Linked DNA regions of Medicago truncatula. The protein of the gene in region 2 interacts with the protein of the main gene of each other region in a biochemical or structural test. Links are inferred from orthologs where the notes say so. Each region holds a gene or a part of one and is shown on either strand. Other genes may lie near its edges.

Region 1 (3,758 bases), on a different chromosome or scaffold from region 2:
TTTTGCACTTCATTTAAACTACCTGTATTTATAATTTAATTAAAAAGTCAAATTTTTAAATATTTATTTATTTTTATATAAAGGATAATAAATATTGGCATAACATTTGTTCTTCTAGTTTTACTCTCCATTTAAAATTTCTTTTATAATTTTAGTTTTCCTTACCAATTAAAATTTTACAACTTATATAGTCTTTTATGGTGACGATGATCATAATGAATTTAAAAGACTAAACCATCAAGCTAAAATAACCGTCCATTTAATAATGAATGGAAATTTTATCAAATACCCCTACATTTATACCTTCACCCCTATATTTCATATGAACTACTGTTTTATTCTCATATATAAACTTAAAAACCTAATTTTTTTTCTTCGTTTAAAAAAAAATCATGTCAATCGAATTACAACTTATGTGTTTTCCTGTATTCTTTCTCCGTCGAAAATCATCAAGTGGTGACGGATTTGTTGCCAATTCAGATTTGTTGGCATTATGCGTTTTCTAGAAATGATTTCAAAAACCTATGCGTTTTCTGGAAACATTCCGAAAACAAGCAATAAATGTTTTCGATCTCATGGATTGTGGTAACATGAACAATATTCAATTCATTAAAAATTAAACAAACCATAAAATGTTTTCGATCTCATGGATTGTGGTTAACATGAGCAGTATTCAATTCATTAAAAAAAAAACCATAATTATATGAGATTGAATTCAATAAAATAATGGTCCTAATTGATTTGTATGAGACTCAATCCAATTCAATAAAAACAGGGCCAACATCTGTAAAAATAAACACAAGAGCGACACGTTTCCTTCTTCTTTGTCATTAAAAACCCATTAACTAAACACAAATCTCTTTGGACCAATCACTATCGATTTGTAACGCTCGTTGGTTACGGGTCCCATCATGCGTAACAGTCTACCAACGTCTACTCGTACCATCATTATTAGCTACATGTAATTTCACTATATAACATATAACAAGATCATGAACATCCTCCAAAGTACAATTTATCTAAGTCTTAACCCTCATTTTTGCTCAAATAACTAACTCGAACGTCATAGTGCTTGTCGGTACATCATCTCCTCCATTCTAAAACCCAAGCTAACACGAAACATATTGTACTAGACATTGTTCTCCTGATTAGGTGAGATCATGTCTCTTAGCATTTTAATTAATTATTAATAGGTTGCTCACATTAAATCTTGACCATAACATTTATTCTTTTAAAGGCATTTGATAAAAAGTCTAATGAAAATAATTTATCTTGATAATCGTGTATTTATTACGTTACAACTTTAAAAATTGATATCTACTTGATTAAACTCATCAATTATTTATACTTTTGTCTTCTTAACAAAGGTCTTGACACTTTCTTCAAGTTCACCATACAATCTTCACTTATTCTTGACACTAATCTCACACTTTAGTTATTCTTGACAATCTCACTAAATATTCTTAAAGTGTGTTTGGATGGAGAATATTTTAAGGTGAATTCCCTCGAAACATTACATTACCTCAAAATATTCCGCCATCCAAACACACTCTTAGTTTAGATTAGATTTAGATCGATATGATTTATAAAAATATATATTCGATGTTCACTCACGAAACTGTGTGAGAATGAAAAGAAAAACGCGTGTGAGACACTTTTCATAGAATCACAACGGCGCAGATTCCGACACTGTCCTCACCGTACACACAACTTTGTTCTCACTTTTTATTTATACCAAAAACTGCATACAAATAAATTATCACTCCCAACCACTCTTCAATTTCATCTTCTCAAACCTCTCTCACTATGTCCACCACTAACGAAGATTTTCAAGGTAGTAACTATTATTCTCTTCCTCTTTCTTTTTTTACTTTTTTCAGGGTTTGTTTTTGCAACCCAATTTTGAAAAAACAAACATATTTTTTATGCTTATTTTCACCACCAATGCTTCTATTTTATATTCTCATAATATTCTTGATCTTTGATTGTAAAAATTTGACCTTTGATTGTTTTGGATGGGTGAGTAGATGAGAAAGATTGTAACTTCAAGAGATAGATACAAAAAGTACTAATTTATTAATGAAAATTACATAACTTAACTTGTTGCAACGATTTAGGAACCCTAGGACAGAAACCCTTGATCCATCTTACAGAGTGAAATATAAAAGGAGTGGAGGGCTTTGGACGGAGGAAAAGATGAGGGATTCCCTCACTTTTTGTGGGAGGGGTTAGAATTTCTTTTTGGTCTTTAACCTTTTGGTCTGTAATTGTTTCAGTTATGATTCATACTCGGGTTTCGTGAACAATTATTTCTTAACTGGAGCTCATTAACTACTTAAGTTCAATCACTTGGTTTGAAGGGCTGGAATGAAATTAGTTATCAGTAATATTATTATTCTTATGAAAATATTATAAAGGTATGTAATTGATTTGAAAATTGACTTTAGTAAGGAGGGTTGATGATTAACGAAAGAGAGTCCAATAGTTACATATTTAGAGAGACCAACGAGAATTATGCTAAATCAGTAGGAGTAATTTATAAGTAAATAAATAGTTTATCCTTGGATAGGGTTTTGTGGCTTTATTGATTCATGTATCCGACCCAACTTTGTGAAAAAAGGCTCAATGGTTTTTGACATTGTTGCCTGAAATAGATGCATTCTAGGACCAAGATGTAAGATTTGAGAAGCAACAAGTGGCCGATTTAGGTTTTCTCTACGATTGTTTAACAACAAAAATTAAACTTTCATAGGGCAGGCAGCAATTTGATTCCTTCATTCAACACCTGACTTAATTGTTACTCAACTCATATTTGCTTTCTTTTTTAAGTGGTAGGTGTTTCAAATTGTTATGTGTTCAAGAGCCAATTGCAAGAGTATGCACAGAAAGCAGGACTTGGCACACCTGTGTATGAAACTACCAAGGAAGGGCCTTCCCATGAACCTTCTTTCAGGTCAACAGTGATTATGAATGATGTTCGTTATGATTCTTTGGCTGGATTTTTTAACCGTAAAGCAGCAGAGCAGTCAGCTGCAGAGGTTGCTTTGATGGAGTTGGCCAAAACTGGTGAAGTTAACCAGTCTATTACTCAACCTGTTGTAAGTAGTCTTTACAAATTATAATTTTTCTGTTGGTAGTAATTGAAAGTTCCGAGTGTAGCGACCGTTGCAGATTATTTTTCACATTTCTTCAGCTCATTGGGACATTTGAAGTTTTTATGTTGTGGGACAAATTCCTGTCTTTTCTACTTTCAACTTTCAAGAGTGGTTATCTTCTCGCCATCTTTATGTTGATTAGCTAATGGTTGCTTCTCTAGTGTTCTTAGTATGCAACAGTTTGGTGTACATTGTTTTGTTGATGTGATCGGTATTTCTTTCTTTTTTCTTTTTATTAAGACTTGAGAGTGTGCCGTATCTTCTTTCTGCCTTCTTACCTGTCAGCTCGTCACCAATATTATTCTTCTGAAAATAAAGATACTCTTAAATTTTCATTTGATAAATATTTCTGTTACTTGTTTATATATATATTGTCAGAAAGAAGAAAAAAAAACTTGATAGTTTATAATGAGATGAAATATAACTGTTGCATATTATATTTGAGGTTCCCTATTGGATTTTCTCTAGATATAAATGCCTTACTAAGTTCTGTATTCATATATATTACAGCTTTGCGAGTTATTGTATATTTTCTGGTTCTGATTATTTTAATGGTGTTTTCTTCCAGCATGAAACTGGATTGTGCAAGAATTTACTTCAGGA
Region 2 (3,758 bases):
GAAAAGATTGTGCAACCTGAAAAAGAAAGAGATATTATAATGATAGCTATGAAATAAATTCATGATTCCTCATTCCTCCATGAAATAGTATGTACCTTATATGCACACCACTGTCCCAATTCACCAAGTGCATAATTAACAGCTCTCAACTTCTGAATTAGGTTTGCAGCTCCATCACTTTCTGTTCTTTCAGAAACACCATATACTTGGCGCAGCTCTTCCTTAGCTCCAGCATCTCTAGCTCCCATAAACTGCCATTTGCTTCTTCTTGAACTAGATTTTGCAGCTTCCTCAACTTCAGTCTCCATCTGCTTTATTTGCTCATGTAAATAACATAGACTGGCCGCTTTATCATACTTCACCACAATCTCAGAGGGCATAGGCACGTGTTTCTCTAGCTCTTTACGATCTTTAATGGTACAAACTATTGAATCTAGCTTACTTTCAAGATTACGAATTTTTATTGCACAGTCTACTTGGCTGGAAACACCTGAATATACCATTAACACAAATAATGTTGATCACATATACTAAAAGAGTAAAAATTTGACGAATTAGGGATTCAATCCCCAAGCAAATCATGGTATGAAAAAAAATAGAGTGACAGTATAGGAACCCAACTTCAGTTGAGCAACTTCATAATTACCCTTTAAGTTAACAGGAGAAGCAGTCATTCCAAATACAGATGGCCTCTTTTCTTTGGGCGTTGTATGGTAGAACTCAGACATCACCAGCGAATATGGGTGTTTCTTCACAGCATGATGGCACTCATCAAGAATCAGGAGATTGATTGCTTCCATTTTTATGATGCTATGCCTCAAAATGTTCAAAAGTATTTGAGCGGTCATGACTAAAACCTACAGCAAGAATAACAAATTGAGAAATTGAAGTACAAAAAGTCGTAAACATGCAAGGTCGAGGATGAAGAACAGCAACAAGGTCAGGGAAATCAATAAAAAAAAAATCTTTAAACTGGTAGAGTCGTGTCTTTTATGTATGAATATGATTTTAGCATTTCACTTGTACAGCCTTTTAAGTGAAACAATAGGAACAAACTAAAAGATGCCGAAAAACAAGCCAATAAGCACACATCTCTAGTTTTTAGGATAAATTGTGTCTTGGAGACACCCAAGGGGCCAATCCCAAGTTGTGGCATAGGAGTATTCACAAAGCATATATCATATGCGTAACACATGAAAAATAACACAAAAGGCCATGCCAGATCAATCGTCCTGGAAAAACTTACAAGTTTAATAAAAAGAGTGATCTTAAATAGAAAATTGAAGACATACATGCTTGGTGTCAAATTCACGCTGCCACCTTCGAGCATCCCAGAAATCCTGCCCCATTTCTCCACAATAGTGCCCCACTTGATATCCAGTGCGCTCACGGATTACCTCAGCTTGCTGTAATGAGACAGGGAATTAGGAACAAGATGAATGGACAAGTAATTGCAATGCACTTATATTAGTGTCTCTAAGCAAAAGCATTTACCTGGTAAACAAGTGGAACTTTTGGAACCAAAAACACAGCAAGCATTTTCTTATTTTGGAGATGTAATGTCTCATGTATAGACTTGATGAGAAGAACGGCAATGAGGGTTTTGCCAGCTCCAGTTTCTAGAAAAGCTATTGTATTTCTGGTCTTTGCCTGCTCAAGAACATCCAACTGATACTGTCTGGCTTTTTCCTCAGGAACAGGAACAGTCTCCTTGGGTTTTTCCTGTTTGATGGGGTTGTCTATGTCCATTTTGTGTTGGGAAGTATGAAGATTGGGTTCCCAAGTTCCGGAGCGAAAGACCAAGTCATTAGAAGACTTATCCCTCTCCCAATAACCCTTGACATCTCTTTTAAAGGAATGATTATGATTATTATTATTCCTTGGTCTCTTCCTATTATTGTTGAAACACCTCTCATACCTGTCCTTGTTGTTGTTGTTGGGTTGATGATTGATTCTCCTTTCTCCTTCGGTGAGGCGAGCCCTTTTGTTGAACCTTTCTTGTTCTTGTTCTTCTTCTTCTACCTGTTGGTGTTGTTCTTCTAGTTGAAGATGAGTAGGAGGTAGTTGATTCCCATCATCAGCAGCAGAAGCAGGAGGATGATCAGGGAGACCAGCGCCGTTTTTGATGCTGTCAAAGATTCGATCAATACCACCAAAAAAGTCTTGGTTGTTGTTGTTGGGTTGTTGGTCAGAATCATTAGAAACATCAAAATCAATGATATCATCACAAGATATAGAAATATCTTCACAGGCATCCAGCCAGTAAGGATTTGACGAAGAAACCCTATTGTTGTTATTCACGGCAGCGGCGGCAGCAGCGGCATCGGCATCATCCTCCATAATAAATAAATAATAAGATTGATTGATTGAAGAGAAGAGAAAGAACAAACCCTATTGCTGTGTATCAACGCCTATTCTATTCTATTCAATTCAATTCATTCCGATTCACTCTCTCAGTGCTCTTGTTCGCTTCCACACACATTACTGTCCTTTGCCCTATATACATACATACATATATTTATATGTCTTATCATCCACTAACTCCAATTATCGCTCCTTGCATAGAGAAATGATGCAACACTCTTTTTAAACACTCTCTTCGTCATTTATTCTTTTTTTTATCCGATGAAATCAATATATGTTCCACCACTTAACGTGGGTTTCTTTTTTAAAGTGCAGGTTCTACATTGATCTCATCCAATAAAAGAATAAGCGGTAGAGAGAGTGTTGTTAGCATTCCTCCTCCTTATAAACGTTAGATTAGAGGGATAAATTAGGTTAGATACATTTTAATCATTATTATTATTTTTTTTTTTTACAAAAGAAGGTCAATGGTTCAAAAGAAAACTAGGAAATTAGTCAAACATTCTTAGGCATGGAAGCGCCGAAAATGTCATCAAAAAGATGTCTATAGAGCTTACTTGACTGATTTTCGATTATGATACAAATTAAAAGAATCAAAAGAAAATTTAAAATTAATCAACCAATTAGCGAATCGATTAAATATATTTTACTAATCCAACATTTCATTGAAAAGTTTTCATTCGCTAGACCAACTCCAAAATAAAATATTCATAATTGTAGCTATATAATGGAATAATCAATACTAACTTGTATTTTTAAGCTTAAGATGGTTGAATCAAACTTTAGTAAACTACAAGTCATCGTATTGGCTTATTTGAGACTATGATTCCAAATGAAACGACCAAAGCTGAGTTATAATGAATTTGATGAATGTTTTCCACTAACGTTGCTTGGAGATAAGTTACCGATCAACCATCTTTAAACAATTGATGTTCCCACATTTGGTTTGGTTATGCTACACGAGTAAATTACTCAAATACCCCTCGGCAGTTAACTGCCGAATTATGAAACCGGCTGCAGTTAACTGCCGAGGAAAACTTCGGCAGTAAACTACCGAGGAAAACTGAAAACTTCGGCAGTTAACTGCCGAGGAAACCTCAAACCTGTTTTTTTTTTTTTTTTTTGACAAAATCCATAAATTGTCATTAATAACAAACCTTTTTTTTTTTTTTTTGACAAAAACCATATATTGTCTTTAATAATATTTATTGATTTTGAATGTTTCAATCATTATTTTGGTACGTTTTAAATAATTGCAGTATTATACTTATGTGTATATATTTTAATAAGAATAACATTTAAATCAGTGTAAAAATTAAGCATTTGAATATTGTTTTGCACATTACTTAAATACAAATAACAATAAAAAAATCGTTAAAATAATTGTGCACAAC

The links.
Region 1: the proteins of endoribonuclease Dicer homolog 1 (region 2) and double-stranded RNA-binding protein 1 form a complex in vitro, tested with the Arabidopsis thaliana proteins (4 studies listed by BioGRID, with this or other methods). The link is inferred for Medicago truncatula from reciprocal best matches to the Arabidopsis thaliana genes DCL1 and HYL1.

What each region holds. Positions count from the first base shown.
Region 1 is NC_053044.1:49,452,307-49,456,064, reverse strand, and holds the start of double-stranded RNA-binding protein 1, read left to right. Parts: upstream 1-1,619; 5' UTR 1,620-1,806; coding exon 1,807-1,834; intron 1,835-2,829; coding exon 2,830-3,098; intron 3,099-3,723; coding exon 3,724-3,758. UniProt on the Arabidopsis thaliana protein: Double-stranded RNA-binding protein involved in RNA-mediated post-transcriptional gene silencing (PTGS).
Region 2 is NC_053048.1:55,964,583-55,968,340, forward strand, and holds the start of endoribonuclease Dicer homolog 1, read right to left. Parts: upstream 2,550-3,758; 5' UTR 2,341-2,549; coding exon 1,495-2,340; intron 1,407-1,494; coding exon 1,293-1,406; intron 858-1,292; coding exon 647-857; intron 491-646; coding exon 96-490; intron 17-95; coding exon 1-16. UniProt on the Arabidopsis thaliana protein: Ribonuclease (RNase) III involved in RNA-mediated post-transcriptional gene silencing (PTGS). Functions in the microRNAs (miRNAs) biogenesis pathway by cleaving primary miRNAs (pri-miRNAs) and precursor miRNAs (pre-miRNAs).